Struthio camelus: one gene and its partner. The protein of the gene in region 1 purifies or fractionates together with the protein of each later gene. This does not show direct contact. Links are inferred from orthologs where the notes say so. Each region holds a gene or a part of one and is shown on either strand. Other genes may lie near its edges.

Region 1 (10,238 bases):
GGCGGTTCCCACGGCTTCCGCTTCCGCCGCCCCTCGGGGCCCGGCAGGCCGCCTCCGCCGCCGCGGCACGGAAGTACCCAACGCGCAGCGGCCGGGAGCTGCCGCCGGGGAGGAGCGGCCGCCGGGTTTGTGCCGGTCAGCGAAGAGCGACTCCGTTTCGTTATTTTTGGGGGGAGAGTAGGAGGGAGGGGAGCTTATGGCAAAAACCCTGCAAACGTCACCGTTTCTGGACTGCGGGCAACCCAGAACAATCGCCTGGAGAGACATAAGCGTTTCTGTCTCTTTTTTCAAATGGAGCGTTCCCGTGCTGCTAGGGACGTTTAAGGGCGGCGGGACAAAGGCAGGATCTGAAGCCGTGTCCCCGTCGCCAGGCTTTGGTCGGGGCTGCCGATGTCGTCCCCGGGGTGAGGTTGCCCAACAGACGTCCACAGGCATGTGCCCGCTTTGCATTTTGTCTGCGAAGCGCAATCCAGACGGCGGCGTCTGTGTTCTCCGTTGACACCGCAGCACCGCTCGAGTAGGGCAGAAACATGAAAGAACAAAGTGACCCAGGAAGGCGAGCAGATGCCCAGCTTGCTCGGGGCGCCCGGGGCAGGGCGGCACAGCCGGGAGCCAGGAGCAGGTTCACATGGCCAGGGCAGCCCTGACCCTGCACACGGTGAAACAAAAATCAATGAATGACCCATTGATCCGCTTCCCTGCGGGCGGGTGGAGCGCCGGATACCAGTGACTCAGAGTTTGGTCTGAGCAGGATCCTGACCCTTCTCACAGCCTGGGCTCTGCGCCTGGCTTGGAGCCATCCAGAGCAGGAAGCCTTGCACTTGGCGAGGGCCTGTCCCGGCCACGTGGCATTAAGTAACCAAAGGTGACACCCCGTCTGGTACTAACCAGACGGCACCAGGCTGCATCATACCCTGAGCTTAACCCTTCCTGACATCATGCAGTTTTATCAGTGCGCGTGTGACTCCATGTAGTAGTACATGGCTTCTGTGCGCAGTGTTTGTGCAACAGGGCTTCAGCACCTCCTTCCCCAGGTGAGGCCTGGCTTCCTCATCCTGCCAGGAAAACACTTTCTGTGCCTGTCATCAGCCTGCTGAGAGTCAGAAAGACCATTCAAAACACGCCAGTCCTAGACAGGGTAACAAAATGCTACACAGGGCCAGCACAGAGAACCCCTTAGTCAAGATGCACTGCCGAGCGCAGAGAAGGGCTGTGTTGCCAGGCAAGAAGCTAGATTTTCCTGAGCAGAGGGTGACGTTTTCTCCCCTAAAAGTGCCCTGTTGATAGAGCGTGGCTGCAAGGGGACCCTGGGCCTGCAGCAGCCTGCCCCAATGGCGTGCCAGACCCCACTAGAGGGCATCAGGACATCGCACAGGGCTGGGCCTGGGACTGCTCCAATCTCCCAGGAGGCGGAAATATTTAGCCATGGGATGGAAATCACCGAGGCTCGTAAAGCTCCCTAAGAATAGCAGGGTTAGCGTCTCAGAGGCTAGCTAGCATTTATTAATCCACTGTAACAAGAAGTACCTTCATTTGGAGCCAGGGACTAACACTTCCTTTCCTGCCAGCTGAGATAAAAATGCTGGAGCAAAGGACAGACACAGGAGAGGCAGCCCATTCCCGCTGGCATCACTGCTGCCTCTGGTCCAGCTGAACAAGTGGGCGGCTGCACTGGAAGTGGCACCAGCGAGAGCTGGAACAAGAGTTCTTCTGTTCTCAGCTCCAGCAGCAAACCCTCCTCAGGGCCCCTCGCCTGAGCACACATCGGTGGCTCCGTGACGCACACCCATTTGCATAATGCACAATGTCTAGAGCTCCAGGCCCGCCGGGCCTCTTCCTCTTCTGCAGCAAAACAAAGGCATTCTCTCAAAGACCTAGCTGATTAACGACCCTGTCATCTCAGCAGCAGGGAATAACTGCAGAAGCAATCACATCCACATAAGCTTTTATCAGCTGCTCTCCTAAGATACCCACAGGAGAACAGACACGCGGAAGACAGAGCAGGGGTGGCCATGCACTCAGGCCCAAACTAGACCCATCTCTGTTCTATTCCCCATTCTCCTTCCCTGTAAGGAAGGAATGTCTCAGCCCCTGGGCACCCTGAGCAGATTTGGACAATCCAAGTAGAAGAGAAAGAAGGTAGAAGTAACTTAAATTTACAGATGGGGAACTGAATGGTTACGCAAAGTGTCCAGCTTCACTCAGGAAGCCTCAGCAGAGCTGGAAACTGGTCCCAGATCTCCTGATTCCAAGTCCAGGGCCCCATCAGGCAACCTTCCTCTAAAAATTAAAACTCTAAAGGAGCCAAATGCACCTTTCTCCTCCCCCTCACTCCCAAAGTTCTTGGAGGAACGGGTCAAATGTAAACAGCTAATGACAGCTGCCTTCCATAGCAGCACCAGCATAGCAAAGGGGCTGGTCATAGGAAGATGTGAGCTACACGTGCTCTGGGAGCCTGACTGAGGCAGCAGGTGGAAGCCCTGGGGTGATGACAGCCCTTTACCAGGAGCAGAGCTAACACATCCCAGCTCTCGGAAGGTCCCATGGCATTTACAAGCGAAGCAGCTGGCAGCTGTGTGTTTGGATGGGACAGGGAAGGCAGGCAGGGAAAGAGAATCTTGTTGAAAATTTATAAGAATGACATAAAGATGTACAACTGGGATGAAGAAAAAGAGACAATATGTGAAAGAGAACTGAGAAGGAAGGAACAGAACAGGCACCGAGATCTGCACCTGCACATGGCAGGGACCCACACTGCTCTAAAGCCGTCAGTGGCGGCAGCTCCCTTACACAGGCAGGGCTTTATGTTCACAAGCTGCACAGCCATTCACTACAAAGTGACAGGGTTGCACAGGTTCAGTGGAGCTGTTCCGAAACAGCACCCTGGAGGCAAGAGAGACAGAACGAGATTCAGGCTGTGTTACCTGATGATGTCGGAGGCTACGTCTGTCCACGCACATCAGCTCCAACAACGTACAGAGAAGGCTGCTGCAGAGAGTGATCTATCACAAGACAGCCAGAGATAAAATGAGTTTGCCATGCTTCCTTAACAGGCTGAAGTAGATGTGTAATTTCAAGAATTGTAAAAGCTGGTAAGTCTTCCTGCTATGTTCTTGAGCTATGAATGTCAATCTATTAATAAACAAAAGCCACATCTGATACTAACTTAAGGGGTTGCAGCGCCTGAGATAGGTCCTGCATGCTAGTTAAGTAAAAGCTGCCTCCAAAAAACCACAGCAACAGAATCTCTGCACCCAAGGGGCCTTCACACGTGTGATCATCCTGACTGGAAAAAAAAAGCGTTCAGTTCTTCTTTGCTGGGTTTCAGGATGGTACAGATAATCCTTTCCTCATTAACTCCACCCCAGCAACTCTAACTGGAGTTTCTAAACTTCTGACAATGCTAGTTCATACGAGAGCTTTTACTCCCTCTCCAGCCCTGCACGACAACAACCAGCTCCCATGAAGGAGGCAAGTACTCTCTTCAAGCCCAGCACAGGGCTACCAGGATGGGTAGGCCAGGGGCTCAGCTCCCATATGGGCCCTGCCGAGGCCCCGTACGGCAGCACAGGGCCATGAGGGCAGGCAGGGGAAGGCTCAGCTCCCACACAGGCACTGCTGAGGCCCCGTACCACAGCACAGGGCCATGAGGGCAGGCAGGGGAAAGCTCAGCTCCCACACAGGTGCTGCCAAGGCCCCATACTGCAGCACAGGGCCACAGGGGCAGGCAGGGGAAGGCTCAGCTCCCACACAGGTGCTGCCAAGGCCCCAGGCAGGCAGGGGAAGGCTCAGCTCCCACACAGGCACTGCTGAGGCCTCATACCACAGCACACGGCTGCAGGGGCAGGTAGGCCAAGGACCCAACTCCCAAAGCAGGCTGTGCCCCGCTCACCACGCCCACCGAGGCCCAGGCACTTTGCGCTGCCCAAGGCACTGCCCCGCCGTCACTCTCGGGCCGCAGCCCGGGCCGGAGCCCCTCCGCCACCCCAGGGCCTACGACACGCCTCGCACCTCACGCCTATCTCCACAGAGACGCACAGCCACAGGGCGCATGCGCGCCAGCCGCTTTGTTCTCGAGCGGGCAGCCACTGCGCATGCGCAACACAGACCTTCCCCCCCCCCACACACACACACACATATACACACATACACGCAGGCGCTGTGAATCCCCTGCGGGATAAGTTTCTCGGCAGCTGGTGACTAATGTCACACCGCTGCATCTGCGCATGCGCAGTCAGGGCAGCGGGGCGGCCGTCGCTCCCCACGTGTCGCTTTCCGCTTTCGCGGGCCCGGCACTGCGCATGCGTCCCAAGAGCGCGCCTCGTTCCCGCGGGCGGCGGGCGGCGCACGCGCGGCCCAGGGGGCGGGCCGTGAGGAGCGCGGCGGGGCGGGGCGGGGTGGGGAGGGGGGTGGCGCGCGGCTGCGTGCCGGCGCAGGCGCAGAGGCGCGCGGGGTGGTCGCGCGGGAGCTGCGGCGGAGTGGGGGGGGGCGGGGAAGTGCGGGGGGGGGGAGTGAGAGAGAGGGAGAGGGAGGGAGGGAGAGAGCGGCAGAAGGGGGGGGCGGTCCTTCCGGCCCCTCACTTCCGGCCGTGGCGCCGCGGCGGACGGTGTGGCAGCGCCGCGCTCGGCCCGCTCCGCGCCCGCCGCCGCCCCCCGCCGCCCGCATGCAGCGCCGTGACGACCCCGCCGCCCGCCTGGGCCGGGGGCCGGGCCCCGGCGGCGCCCGGCAAGGGGCGCCCCCCCCGCGGCGGCCGCCCCGCGGAGGAGGAGGAGGAGGAGGTGGCGGCGGAGGAGGAGGAGGAGGAGGTGGGGGGGGCCGAGGCGCCGCCGCCACCGGGGCGCAGCCGCCGCCGCTCCTACCGCCCAGCGCCACAGCGGCCGCCTCGGCCGCCCAGGCCCCCGCCGCCGCCCCCACCCCGCTGCTGCCGGGGGCCGCCGTCAAGATGGAGCCCGAGAACAAATACCTGCCGGAGTTGATGGCCGAGAAGGACAGCCTCGACCCGTCCTTCACGCACGCCATGCAGCTCCTCACGGCAGGTACCGCGGCCGGGGGGGCGGCGGGCAGGGCGGGGGGGGGGGCCCGGCCGCCGCTGACCCCTCTTGGCCGCCCTGCCCGGGGCTGCGAGCGCCGAGGGCCCCCGGGGAGCGGCCCCGGGTGAGATGCGCCCCGCCTCCCTCGGTGGTGGGGGGGTTACCGAGATATTTCTATTATTTAATCTCTGTTTAGCGCCCTCCCCCTCCTCCGTGCTTAGCCTGGATTAAGCACAAACCTAGAACTTTCTTTTTGATAAGCAAGGTACGGTCGTGTTCCCCCTTTTCGTCCCTGGGGGAAGAGGGGACCCGAGAGAACGGTGAAGACTGGGGTTTTCCAGGTAGCGTCTGCTGGAGCCCCTGCGAGGCGTGATTTGTGATCTCTTTGCATTTCTACTCTGGAAATCCGTATTAGAGCTTGTTTCATGCTTTTGATGAGCCTAAATAGGGAATGGAAATGGCAGTCTTTGTTCTGTGCCCAGACTAGCCTTCTCCTTCCCCATCACCACTGTCCAATCGCCTGGCGGCTCTGATTTCTCCCTATCTCTCCAGTGCAGCTGCTGCACCCGCATTTGGTGGCTGTATCAAGTAGACTCAGCTGCCTCACGACACTGTAGTTAGCTTAAAAATTGGAACAAGTTAAGCAATTTCTGCCACTTACTGCTTAATGTGCATGGAGTGGAGAGCTGGGATGTGCTCAGCACAAGAAGGATGAACTCGGATTCGATTTACAGATGAGCAGAGTGCTTAGCTCTCTAGTTATTACCATTCTGTTTCTAAATGTTTTTTTTTAAACAGTCTTTAAAGTATGTAATGTGGCTGTAATCGTTGCAGTGCTAGAGACTTTATTAAGACTTGCTGTCTCCCATTGTACAAGTAACTGAGATATGTCAATGTCATGAGTGACTTGGCATCGCTCATGGGCATCTTGATCTCCATAAATCAGTTTTATAGTCTGATTTGCCACAATTTTTTTTTATTAATAAAACCCTTTAGCCAGCTGATGCTCAACAGCTCTGTGATAATGCCTTGCGGTGAAATGAAACCTAAGGAATTTGCTAATTCCTGCTCAAAGAACAGCGTTCTCATCCCATTTAGCAAAGCTTCATTCACTGAGTGCTGTCGCAAGGATTTATGAGTTTTTCATCAATTTAAAAATTGCTGATAGTAGAGCGCAGCTTTGTGAGACTTAGGATTGATCATTGGAAGAGCTCCAGATGCTTCTGCCTTGCTTTGGTTATTTGAAAATTCCTGTCCTTTGGGAGCATTCACTAGGCAGCCCAAACTTAGGGCGATCTAAGCAGGAGGCTCGTGAGAGAGAATCTGAAATAAAGCCACCGTTTTAGGAGCCTCTTTTTGCACAGATGACCAGCTGTTCCCCAACTGACCTGGATTGCTCAGAATTTCTCTACTGCTGTGGCACCCTTTGAGTATGTCGTGTTGAAGAGCCAGCTGAAAAATCTCACTTTGGAATTTAAGTCTGGGTCAAAGATTGTAATGCGTGTGTGCAGCGTGACTTCATCAAAATGATTTTTCAGACAGGCTTTCAAAACGACTGGTCACGGAACAGCAGCAGTATCCCTATCCCTATGCCAGCCTTTTCTCAAGAATGCAAGTTCATGCTGCATTCCGGAGGAACTCCTGCAGGAGTTCTGCACTGAAACTAAGACATCTTGTTTAAAAACAGTATTTTAAAGTAGTCCAAAATACTTGTGTGGTTCTAGTGCTGCTTAGCTTTTCTGAAAGAAATCAGCATTGTTTAGGAGCAAGATGAAGGGCAACGCAGTGACATAATCCTAATTCTTGAACAATGGGCTGTGTGATCAAAAGGGAGAAAAGTGGCTACCTTTTAGGGTTCTGTAGCACAGCACCCCGAATAGAAATCGAAAACTGGGGTTTCTTACCCTTTGGAATAGGATCCATGTCTCCTCACTTTTATGACTCGGGGTCTACATGGCCTTCCCTTTCCATAGGAACAAGAAAATCCCTTTCCCTCACTTTGATTTATGCCCTTCATCTGTTGCGGGGGCAGGGGGGATGCTGATGCTTTGAAAGGCGCAATTTTCTCTGCTTATGTGCATTGGGAGGATGGGAGACATCTACCGATGTAAGTGTTAGCCAGGCATGTTTTTTTCAAGTTCATGTGTTAATCTTAGCAAGCTCTCTTCATTTCATGGTGGAACTCTCCTTGAAAAGAGCAGGCCTCTTCACCTCTGAGCTTCCAGTGCTACAAATAAATGTGTAAGCCCCATCTCCGCTCCACTAATGGATCTCTACATTGCTAGCATCTAATTGGTCCTCATGTTAAATGCAGCCCTTTACCTCCCCAGACACGTAGAGTGGTGAGGAGGGATGGAGATGGATGGTGAGGGCTAAGTTCAGAGCAATAGGTAACTCGAGGTATTCGAGTAAACCCATGAAGGAAGGAAGCTCTGAGCAATTGGAGTTAGATCAAAACATTGCACAGTAGAGAGCGGCTTGAGAAGTTGAAGGAATCCTCAGAAGAATACCCTGCTGACTCTGCTGATTCTTGTGCCAGAGTTATTTAATCTGTATGTATTCCTAGGAAGAACACGGATGGTGGAAACATAGGCTGTATGGGAAAGTCAGATGGATGGGCAGTGGCCTCGCTGGAGTAACTTGCCAAGGAACCAAACAGTGGGATTAGAGATGGGCTGAGGTCACAGGGGTGATGAGAAACTGTATATAACCCAAAGCGATAGAATGTCCTGAGGCTTTCTCAGCATGGGGTTAAGGCTGTCCTGAAATGGAGGAGAAATTTCTGTGTTTCCAAGTGTATGTCCTAGCCCCCAAAGGAGCTGTAACTACCACCTTAAACTTGTGCCCAGATGTTGCAAACTGAGTGATATGCTAATAGCATTTTACTGTTGCATTTTTTAAATGTATATCCTGCTAAGAAATGCCAACGTTATTAGACGCTCATGCTAATCTACCTGTCACTGCCGTGACTCTACCTCCTCCCACTTCTCTCGCAAGAGTCTCTACTGCCTGTACCATTTCTCATAGCTCACCTCCAGGCTTTTTCCTCCCCACCCCATGCTTGAGCAGTATTTCTTTTCTTCCCCATGCCCCTTCTCCCTGTGCCAGTGGCAGTCCTCGCCCTTCCCAGCAAAGCTCCAAAGCAGAGCTGCCTGCATATGAATCCCAGCATATACAGGCTGGAGAGTGGGGGGTGTATTCCAGAAGGAAGTGGGAGGGAAATGATGGGGTTAGACTTGCCAAATTCTGCCACTTCCACTGTTGGCCAAATTTATCCAGGAACGGGTCCCTGATTCGTCTCCTGTGAAATCAAATCAGCTAGGGAGCAGTGCCATGGGAGAGATGGAGCTCTGCTTTCTTCTAGATGCCCCTTCTTCCCCGCCCCCCCCCCACCTCTTATTAAATTTTGGGGGGTATGGGATCAGTATTATCATAATATTGAGATAATACTTCTGATATCAGAATTGTGAATGAATAGAATGTGTCTCTGCTTACAGAGCACAGGTGTGCTGCAGGACAATGTGTAATATGTCCTTTGTTAAGGAAAAGCTCGGGCTTAGATCAGGAGTAGCACTACGGCTGCTGAGCCTCCTCCTTGTGAAGCAGCAGTGTTACCAACCCCCTTTACCTACCCCTTAGGATTTCTTCTGAGACAATGCAATCACTGCCCCACATGAAGTCCTGGAAACCACTGCCACACATGCTGCCAGACTGCTGACATTCCCCGTGGCAAGAAGGTAACCTTCTGCTGCACCTCTGACACGGCTTTAAAAAATCAGCACTGAAATGAGGCATGCTTAATCCCTCAAGGTATATGTACGCTTCTTCATATCAGTAAGTCGTCTGACAAACTGCTACCACTCATCGGTTCATTCAGTACTGCTTCGTGTTGCGTAGCTAATATGCCAGAATGCATACAGATAACGCTGGAATCCAGATCAGTAGGACACGTCACAAGCGGCATGTTTTTAGTCCTCCTTTGCACCTCTTTGCAGACTTGGAATTTGTCTGAAGGTGTGAAGGGGACTGCTAGGTCACCTACGGTGACCTGAATAACAAAAGCTGGAGGATTTCGAGTTGTGCTGCTGGGATAGGGTTTTTTTTCCTCCTCGTATCTTTTGGATTTCATTTGAAGACGTGGCAATGGTGAATCCGATGCTTCTCTCAGCAAATGGTTAATGATCTGTTGTCCTCATAGAACAATTCCCAGATGATGTTGCTACTGTTGCAAGAGGCAGAATGGATCTTGCTGTGTGGTTGATGTGAAAAGTAATTCACTGGTTTACAGAGGCTTACGTTCTGATCACTTTCTGTGTTTTGGCAAGATAGAAGATGCCTCTAGGTAGTTTAATTTTGTATTAAGAAAGTTTGAGGGTGCCTTTATTCTTAATATGTTCATTCAAAAAGTACTTTTTGTTAATACGCAGAATATATTTTGAGAAACTTACTGTGTTTGCAGAAGCAAAATATTTGAGAAGGAATCTCATTGCATTAGAGGATCTAAAGCTACGGCTAGCCAGTGCTAAGGCCAGCAATGCAATCATTAGTTTCCAAATTTTTTTCTCTGATGTATGCTTATAGTAAAAATTGAAAACCTGTAAGTAAAACTAACCAAGGCAGACAGCTCTTTTGCTTATTTTATAAATTTGGTGGTGCTTGAACTTGTTTTTACTTTTGCATAGCATCTTCAGAAAATCATTTCTTGTTAAAGGAAAAATCAAGCTATCCTTTTTAAAGCCTATTAGATCCAGTTTTTTTTTTTTTTTTTTCAATTAAGGAGTCATGCTAACGTGTTTGTAATGGAGCCAAGATGCTGTTGCAAGTAAACTACAAAACTTAGGTTTCTTTCATAATTTTGCAACGTAATCTCCAAGTTCTATATTTAGTTCTCTAACTAAAACTAGTTTGCATCAGTTTGACCATAACTGATCATTTAAAATATCGATCATTCAATCTGTTTTCTTAGGCTTTTTGGTTGCCCGTCTGGTTGCTTGACTTTCTTGCAGTCTGCCTCATTCAAACATGCCAGGCACGCTTCCCAGAGTGTTAGGCCGTAGTTGCCTGTCCAGTCAGAAATATTATGGTAACCCATTGTTCCTATTTGTTTGGATTACATGAACACGGTATTAGGTGGATAACGTGTCAAGTATCTGATACGCCAGTCTTCCAAAACTGTAAGCATGGCAATGACAATTTAATCTAAAGTAT
Region 2 (9,490 bases), on another chromosome or scaffold:
TGTCCCTTCATGCTGTTCTCCACATCAGATAACAAGGCAGGTGCTTTCCAGACTGCACGGGGAGGGATTTACCCTCAGGTCACGTTACTCTGCAGAAAACCCATATGCAAGTCTTATTTTAAAAATCTTTCTATTTATCTTTGTATGGGGGATCACCAGGGAGGGCTCTTTCCTCCCCAGCCTTCACCCGCTTCTGTAAGATGGAGCCACATCGTACCACAGAACAAGGCTTCAAACGCCAGAGAGCAGAGCCAGGCGCTACAGAGCTCCATGCAGCCTTGAACCGTTAAGAAAGGACACAGACCCCCTGTGCTACAGGAAAGCCAGAAGGGTCCTACCCTTTGCTGGACCAGAATTCAGCTTCCTACCCAATCTGGTGTTCAAAGAGCTGACTCCCAGAGCAGGAGGCCCCACAGCTCCCATTACACTGCTCTGCGTCTCATAGTGAGATCACAGCAAAACAATCCCAAAGCTGGCAACTGCCGAGCTGATGACTCCAGTCTCCCAGGACCCTGTAAATCTCCAGTCCGGAGACCTGAGGTTCAGAGGCAGCATCAGGCGCAGCCACGGCTACCGGCAGTGTTTTTACCTGGTTGCATGCGGTCTTTGGTGTACCAGATGGCAAAGCCATCTCCGTTCAGGTTTTTCTTGCCTTGCCCGTGGATTTTAAAATGGACTTGCATCTCCCAGTCGCGGAGGTAACACGGCTGCAAGAGAAGGAATGAGCCTGTGAAATTAGGGTGCCCCGAGTGCCAAGGGACCCTCAGGAACCCGCTGCTCTTGCAGCTGAGGGTCAGGCTCTGGCGGGGACGGATGGCTGCAGCTGGCTGCACTATCCCCTGCCCACCACGACAAAAGGCAGCGGCTGCCTGCAGCTCTACGCGGCTTCAGATCAGAGAGTTAATGCTCCCCATTTCCCTTGCCAACAGACCACTGTTGTCCTGTATTTGGGATGTGAGCAAGAATAATTAATCCCCAAAGGCGTCATTAAGCCGAGGGAATTGGTTGTTACCCAGGGCTATAAAAAGCCAAGAAACCAATTCTTATCTCATACTATTCTGAAACAGCAGCAACTCCAGCAAAATCAATACCTCACACCAGGGAAAAGGAGGCTAGAATGAGCCTAAGGAGCAGCTTCAATTTTGTAATTGCAGATGAGCCAATTATTTTCTGAGCTACAAACGAATCGCCTACGCTAACAGGCACAAAACATGAGGAGTTCATAACAGATTCACTCACACGACGTTACAAAGCCGGTTGCTAGCTTCGTTCTGAAACTCGTATAAGCCACAACATTTCATGGGAGCCATAAACCCAAGTGAAAAACCTCCCGCAATATTTTATAACAATAAAAGTTGAGCATCCCAGACTACGTCTGGTCTTGTGAAACGTTTTCCAAACCACTCCAGAATGTCTAAGCGATCTCACGTGTGCCATCTGAAAGCACTTCGCTGCTATTGAATTTATATAGGGAAGGACAGAGCGATGCCCAAGCCGGGAGACACCACTCAACGTCGGACCGCCCTCAGACACAGCCTCAACAAGCCAGCCCGTTCCCATAGGTTCACGGCAGAAGTCAGAGCAAACTCCTGACGACTCGGAGGGCATTCAGGCTAGAGATGGGCTCTTAACGGACACGTTTCCGTATACCCCAGTAGTGCTATGACACCGACACAAATAGGGAGGCAGAACCAGCCACGCAAGGTGGGGTAAGCCTGCACTTACCGCCAGACGCCAGGGCGCAAAAAAGCACCGGTCTAAAGCCCAAAGTAAACACCAACCCAAACTATCAAGTTGTTAGACAGACCCTTGCTATCCGTCAGCCACAGGGAGGCAGCTCAAGGCCTCAGCGAAGCACACAACGGCAGCTACAAGAGCAGACATTAACAGCGAGGTTACAAGCCCTTGAGGCAAGGGAAGCGCAAGAAAGTCATGATCTCACATGTCTTTCTCCGTTGCTAAATAAGAGCTGATTGTGGACAGGGCTGGGAGACAAGAGCGAAGTCCCAGCGGCCGGGGTTTGCGACCACGGCTTAGCAATCACACCCAGGGCTGGAATCCATCACGCACACTTGTGAGCTACGTGCAGAGCCCCTGCTACGGGAGCGCAGGCCCAACGAGATGACCTTGTCCTTCTGCCCTCTGAGCTGCAATCCTTTGCGTGCCCAGGCCACAAGGGTCACTTGGCCACTCTGCAGCCAAAGCAAGCAGCTTCCCGGGCTGGGAGAGCCAGGCCACTGCACAAGGATCCCTGCTGGCACCTACATGGCCAAACATGCGGCTTCGCCAGAGCCTGCCCGCCATGGCAAGGTGCCTCCATTACTGGCATTGCTTCAAATCCCAGAGCGCAGCAAAGCAGGCAGTCGGAGTGCTCCAGCCACAGCCGTCGGAGAGAGGCACCCCCAAATTCATGTGCAGGGGGAACAGCCCATGATACGCTCCCCTCTCCACTGCAGCCCCTCAGCCGAGTCACCCCGGCTGGGACGAGGGGCTCAGCCCTTGCCAGAGGCAGGAGTCGCCGAGCCAAAGGCTGGAGACTGAGCTGAGGAACTACTGGCACCCCCCAGGCCCCTACGCTTCCCCAGCCCCCTACATCTCAGGGCAGATCCCATGACCCCCCAACCCCCCACAGCCCAGTCCAACTCCCCTCAGCACCTCAGACCCCCACATCGCCCTGGCCCAAACACCCAGCTATCCCGTGCCCCCGCAGCCCCCCAAGCCACCCCACCCCGTATCTCCCTCCCCACAAATCTCCTGGCTCCAGACCCCTACTCCCCCTCACTGCTCCAGCACTGTGCAGACCCTCCCTCCAGCCCCCCTCACTCCCCCCAGCCCAAACCCTCTTCCCCATACCCCTCAGATCCCCTCCCTATAGCCCCCAGACAGACCAGCCCCCCCACACCCCCCACCAGCCCAGCCTCCCCACTCTCCTAGCCCGGTCCCCCTGGACCCCCCACCCCCGGGCCCCCCTCCTCCATCCCATTCCCCTCCATATCCCCCCCAGCTCCCCCCCACCACCTTCCCCCCCCAATGTCCCAGACCCTCCCCAACTCCCCCCTTCCTCCACTCCCCCCCCACCCCAGTCTCCCTGCCCAGGCCCCCCACCCGCAGGCCCCCGCGGCCCGGCCCCGCTCCCCCTCGCCCCCCGCCGGTACCGGCGCTCACCACGCGGTTCCAGACGGCGCCCCGCTTGCTCTGCACGTCGGGGGTGAGGCGGATGTACTGGGTCGTGACCATGGCGTTGCCCAGCAGGTCCCAGAGCCCCGAGCTGGCCGAGCCCACGCCTGCCGGCCCACGCACACGGTCAGCACCGGCCGCCCCGCCGCCGCCGCCGCCGCTACCGGCGCCCCGCTCACCCTGGTACGGCTTGGACAGCGAGTGCTCCCGCTTGAGGTGCTCCTCCGTCTGCTCGGCCCGCGGCCCGCCCAGCCGCAGCGCCAACACCAGCAGCGCCAGCCCTGCCCGCCGCCGGCCCGCCGCCGCCATCGCCGCCGCCATCTTCCCTCCGGTGCCCGCGCCGCGCGCCGCGCGCCCCGCCCCTCCCGCGCCGCTATTGGCTGCTCCGCCCCCCCCGCGCCGCCATTGGCTGCCCTACCCCCCGCCGCTCGCCGGTTGGCAGCGCCGCGCATCAGTCCGGGAGCGGGCGCGCGGGGGGTGACGGGGGATGTAGTGCGGCCAGCGGTGGGGGGGAGGGCGCGCGCGCGGAACCCGCCTGCCCGGGAGGGGGCCGGCGGCGGCGCTCAGGATGGGTCCGTGCTGCCGCGGGGTCTCCCGGCCCCTAGGCCGGGCCTGCCCCCTTCTGAGCCCTAGTTCCCCTTCCCGTGGCTCCTGCCCTCCCTAGTCCAACCTGCCCCCCCCAAAACAGGCTCTGCTTCCCCCGGTCCTAGTGCCCCCTCTCCTCCGCCACCTGCCTCCCCAAACAGGCTCCCCCAGGTCCTAGTGCCTCCCTTCTGCAAACCCTAGGTCTTAGTGCCCCCCCCATCTGCCTCTTACGCCCCCCAAAACAGGCTCTGCACCCCCAGGTCCTAGTGCCCCCCCCCGCAACCTGCCTCCCCAAACAGGCTCTGCTCCCCCAGGTCCTAGTGCCCCCCCCCCGCAACCTGCCTCCCCAAACAGGCTCTGCTCCCCCAGGTCCTAGTGCCCCCCCCCGCAACCTGCCTCCCCAAAACAGGCTCTGCTCCCCCAGGTCCTAGTGCCCCCCCCCGCAACCTGCCTCCCCAAAACAGGCTCTGCTCCCCCAGGTCCTAGTGCCCCCCCCCGCAACCTGCCTCCCCAAACAGGCTCTGCTCCCCCAGGTCCTAGTGCCCCCCAACCTGCCTCCTGCCCCCTCTCAAACCGACTCTGCACCCCCAGGTCCTAGTGCCCTGCCTCCTGCTCCCTTGCCCCAGTCCTACTGTCCTCCCCCCCCGTCCTACCTGCCCCGGGTGCTGCCCCCGGGGTGCAGGGGCCCTGGCAGGCCGCGGCAGTGCCGGAGCCGCTCCCCGGGGCGCTGCCCTGCCCCTCCCGGCGCCGCACGCTGCTGGGGCGACCTTCACCCCGCGGGGACGGGGCCTGGGACGGGCCACCCCCGCCCGGGGACTGGGCCAGACCGGCTGCGCCCCGCGGGCTGGGACTCCCGGCACGGCGGGGTGACACCGCCGAGTGCCACCCCCTTTCCCTAAGGGACACTGCCAAGTGTCGCCACCTCCACATGACCCCCATCCCACCAGGGACCACCCAAGTGCCACCCCCCCCACCCAAGGGACACCCCATGGGACCCCCCCCACACACACCCGGGGGCCACCCCCTTTCCCTAGCAGCTACCCCCAAGTGTCACTTCCCCACCTGCCACTCCTTCGCCACCCTCGTGTGCCACCCCCCCACCCAAGGGACACCCCGTGTGACCCCCCCCAACTTAGGAGACACCAACGTGCCACCCGCCTCCCCTCTCCGTGCGCGCCCTCCCCCACCACCCCAGGCGCGGCCCCTTTAAGGCGGGGGAGGGGGCGTGGCCCCGCCCAGCCGGAGGAGGGGGCGCGGCGCGGTGGGTGACGCGCGGCGGGGGGGGCGTGGCGCGGCGGCCGGGGGGGGCGTGGCGCGGCGGGTGACGCGGCCCGCGAGCGCGGCGGGCGGCTAGTGCGCGCGGCGCCCGCCAGACGCTAACATGGCGCCGGGCGGCGGCGGCTGGCGGCGGCGGCGCGGCGGCGGAGGCGGCGGAGGAGGCGGCGGCGGCGGGGTCGGTCCCGACGCTGCGGGCGGCGGCGGCGCGGCGGCGCCTCCCCTGCTGCCGCCGCTGCTGCTGCTTCTAGCGCTGCCCGGCGGCGCGGCGCCGGCGGGCGACAGCCTCATCCTGGGCATGAGGCTGGAGGAGAGCACGAAGCCGGCGGCGGGGGCGCCGGCCCGCGGGCCCATCCGCGTCACGGAGGGCAGCGAGGTGCTGCTGCGCCTCTACGGGCTGGGCCTGGGGCCCCGCACCGGCGAGCGCGTGGCCTTCGCCGAGCTGCGGCCCGCCGCCGCCAACGCCTCGGCGCCCAACGGCACCTGCCCCGAGCGCTCGCAGGACCTGGTGGTGCAGCCGGGCCCCGCCGAGGCTCGCAACACCTCGGCCCTGCTCCGCGTCCGTGTCCAGCCCCTGCGCAAGGACGAGCAGGCCAAGACCTACGTGCTCTGCACCCAACGCCGGCCCGGCCAACCCTGGCTGCCTCACCAGGGTCCCGACGGCCGCATCGTGGTGCTGGAGGAGAAGAAGTCGTTGCTGCCCCTCTGGCTCCAGGTGATCCTCATCGCCGGGCTCCTGGTGCTCTCGGGCATGTTCAGCGGGCTCAACCTGGGCCTCATGGCGCTGGACCCCATGGAGCTGCGCATCGTGCAGAACTGCGGCACCGACAAGGAGAAGCGCTACGCCCGCAAGATCGAGCCCATCCGGCGCAAGGGCAACTACCTGCTCTGCTCCCTGCTGCTGGGCAACGTGCTGGTCAACACCACCCTCACCATCCTCCTCGACGACCTCATCGGCTCCGGCATCGGCGCCGTCGTCGCCTCCACCATCGGCATCGTCATCTTCGGCGAGATCGTGCCCCAGGCGCTCTGTTCCCGCCACGGTCTGGCCGTGGGCGCCAACACCATCGTGGTCACCAAGTTCTTCATGCTGGTGACGTTCCCCCTCTCCTTCCCCATCAGCAAGCTGCTGGACTGCATCCTGGGCCAGGAGATCGGTACTGTCTACAATCGGGAGAAGCTGGTGGAGATGCTGAAGGTGACGGAGCCATACAATGACCTGGTGAGGGAGGAGCTCAACATGATCCAGGGAGCCCTGGAGCTACGGACCAAGACAGTGGAGGATGTGATGACCCCCCTGCACAACTGTTTCATGATCAACAGCGACGCCATCCTGGATTTCAACACCATGTCGGAGATCATGGAGAGCGGCTTCACCCGCATCCCCGTCTACGAGGACGAGCGCTCCAACATCATGGACATCCTTTACGTCAAGGACCTGGCGTTCGTCGACCCTGACGACTGCACCCCGCTCAAGACCATCACAAAGTTTTACAACCACCCCGTGCACGTCGTCTTCCACGACACCAAGCTGGACGCCATGCTGGAGGAGTTCAAAAAGGGTGAGAGGGCTGGGCGCTGGCCGGGTGGGTGCCGCTCGCCGGACTGCTCCGCTCGGGCTGGGCTGGGCCGCTGGCTTGTTCCCACAGCAACATCTCCGGCTCCGGTCGGAGGAGGCTCTTAACGAGGCTTAGATGCCGGAAGCAAAACTTTCGGCTGAATGTCTCTGGCGGCGCTCCAGGGCCGGAGCCGCCTGCGCTTGGCGCGCGGTGACAGCCCAGGGGGCTTCCTCGGGGCCGAGCTCCGGGCTCTGCTGGCTTTGGGCGTTGGGAGACAGAGGGGATGAGGTGTCTGTGCACGCACCGCTGTGCTGTGCCGCTGGGGACGGGCAGGAACCGGGGCGGCAGCTCGGCCTCGGTGCTTGCAACGGGCCGTGTTTCCGGGGTCCGAGCTGTAACGGCCCTGCACCTGGGTCGGGGAGGGACAGAGCCTCTATTTTACCATCGGCAGGGCACGCTCTGCTTAATGCCAGCCCCTAGAAACACTTTGAGGCTGTTGACTCGCTTCTGGTTCCTAATTAGCAGCCCCGGAGGCCCTTCAATGGCTCCTGGCAAATCGCTCCGATCCCTGGCTCGGGCTTTGCTCCCTCCTCTGGGCCCTTTCCAGGCGCTGGGAACGGCGAGCTGGGCTCGCTGCCGGCCCCGATCACAGCGCTTCCTGCCCCACCTTGCGCTCGGGCACCCAAAACCAGGAGCGGCTAGGGGGCAGGAGGGGCTGGAAGGCCCGTTGGGGCTGCCTCGCCGGTGGGAGCAGGGCCAGGACCGGTGGGAGGCTCCTCTCGTCGGCCCCGGCGCTGCCGGGAGCGAGAGAAGGCCGCGTTAATTCGGAGGCAGGTTTTGAAGGCCCGAGGTCTCCGCTTGGCCTTTGCACCACCATGTTTGCACCGTGCGCCTTCTCTTCGCCCGGGAGTGAGGAGAAAACCCGCACCAGCCAGGAGACCGTCCCTCCTTCCCGAGCTTCTTGCAGCTGCTGCCAGGCCGGTTTGGGTCACCCAGCCTCTCTGCCGGCACACGCTGGGGCCCCAGCTGCCTCGGGGGGTGTTGGCAGCCGACCTGCCTGCTGCTCGCGGCCCGAAACAGGGCTCAGCCATGCCCAGAGCGTTACGCAGCGACGGCTGTTGGCTGGGAGGGTGGGCAGCCGCGGTCCAGGCCGCAGTGGCTGATCACGGCAGAGGTGAGGATCCGTGCGGTGCCGGCTGCGAGACCTGCCTGCCTTGGGGACGGGATAAGTAACCCGGCTTGGGAACAGCTGTGCCGGGCGATGCCAGGCCTCAGCCGTGTGTGACCCTGGTGTCTCCTCTGTCTCCCGTTACATCTGCACAGGGAAGGTTTGGTCCCACTGCGGGAGGTCTGCTGGGCTCGGGGCAGCGCGGAGGAGGTCAGTACCAGCTCCCTGCCGCAGCAGTGGGTTGAGGTGAAGGTAGGCTTCAGGCCAGCGTTGCCTGCTGGGTTTGAGCCCCTGCCTCCAGGGGTGGTTTCCAGTCTGGACTCAGCCGGTTCCAGCCAAGAAACTGCATGCTCCTCGGATTTAGGAGGTCTAACAATTCTTCCTGCAGCCAGAGCTTTGCTCGAGCAAGGATTTGGGAGTGACCTGGTAGACCCAAGCCAGGCTGATCTTTGAGCCCAGCAGAGAGCTGAGAGTTTACGAGGTGGCCTCCCTGGTGACACTGGACACGTGCTCAGGCCGCAGCAAGTTATAGGCTCTGTTTCTGTCTTCCCTGAAACTTTTGTGATCGTGCTGCCCCGAACCCAAAAATTTCAACTTGGGAATAACGCCACCGGATCATGGGTCGGTGTTGTTTGTGGTTGGAACTGTGACGGGATCTCATCGTCTTCGAGCCTCCAACTTTCATTCCTGATTAATGAAAACCTTCTTGGCAAATGCTTTTGCTTTAGTTCATCTTGCGCTGGTTCAAGAATTTCACCCCAAGCAGCACAATACGAATGCGTACGGCTGTCTCTCTTAATCCTGGCCCCATTTCTAAAAACCAACAAAACAGAACCGGAGTCCTATTCTGTCTCTCTGCTGTTGGAGCTGGAGTTACCACGGCTGCTGGCACCAGCCTTTCCCTCTGATGAATCCTTGTGAAAGGATTTAAAGCCTGCTCATTCCAATTACAAGGCCTCGAATATCCCGTATTGTTATTTTTTGTCACTTCTTCTCTGGTTTGAGAGTGGGTAATTTGTGGGCCTGCTGTCTTCCTCGGATGTGGTAGCTGTTTCTGAGGTCCCTTTTTGGGACCGAACACTGATTTCCCGTTACTCACAGTCACCGTGGATGTAGTACCACCCGCAGCGAGTACCAGATCATGGCGAGTCTGTGCCTCATCCCACTGGTTGGGACTCAAAGTGAGCAGGAGCTGCGCCGAAGCTAAGGCTGCCTCTCTGGGTGACTCTGGTCCCCTCCGCGGCATGTCACAGCCCTGATGGCTGTTGTGCGGGAACCTCTAGGGTTGTTTTGGGGAGGTTCAGGGCTTGGAGTTGCCTCGACAGCTCCCTCCAGCTCCCCAAATCCATCCCTAGGGACTGTGTGGTTTGGGTCAGGTTGTTTCTGGAAGGTGGGCTGAATTCCTTGGCCTCAGGAAGGTTCACCTCTGGCACTGGATGAGCTTCATGAGGAAATACCAGGACTGGGTTCGAGCAAAGCAAAAGGTGAAGGAGGCAAAAAATCAACCAGCAGCGCTTCTGATCGTCGTAAGCGTGGCTCTTGGCAGTTTGCTTCTCCCTCAGCTACCACAGATGCATCCTAACTGCCAGCCCTGGGAAGAAAGCTCCTACAGCGATATCTGGCACTTCTCTGCAGTTCGCAGGCCTATACCCTTCCTTCTCCTTCCCTCGGCACGAGCCTGACGTGAAGGTTTGACCAGGGATGTCCCCATGGGGTGGCTGGAGCT

What was found. The genes of interacting proteins can lie anywhere in the genome.
Region 2: the proteins of PTP4A2 (region 1) and CNNM4 purify together in Homo sapiens (affinity purification with mass spectrometry; 6 studies listed by BioGRID and IntAct, counting the BioPlex papers as one, with this or other methods). This does not show direct contact. The link is inferred for Struthio camelus from reciprocal best matches to the Homo sapiens genes PTP4A2 and CNNM4.

What each region holds. Positions count from the first base shown.
Region 1 is NC_090964.1:8,672,814-8,683,051, reverse strand, and holds the start of PTP4A2 (protein tyrosine phosphatase type IVA 2), read right to left. Parts: upstream 4,322-10,238; 5' UTR 4,151-4,321; intron 4,112-4,150; exon of another isoform or gene 3,893-4,111; intron 3,003-3,892; 5' UTR 2,925-3,002; intron 1-2,924. Other genes in the region: KHDRBS1 (KH domain-containing, RNA-binding, signal transduction-associated protein 1), read left to right, coding at 4,943-5,036.
Region 2 is NC_090968.1:1,292,117-1,301,606, forward strand, and holds the start of CNNM4 (metal transporter CNNM4), read left to right. Parts: upstream 1-5,143; coding exon 5,144-6,599; intron 6,600-9,490. Other genes in the region: LMAN2L (VIP36-like protein), read right to left, coding at 590-707, 3,166-3,284, 3,357-3,498. UniProt on the Homo sapiens protein: Probable metal transporter. The interaction with the metal ion chaperone COX11 suggests that it may play a role in sensory neuron functions. May play a role in biomineralization and retinal function.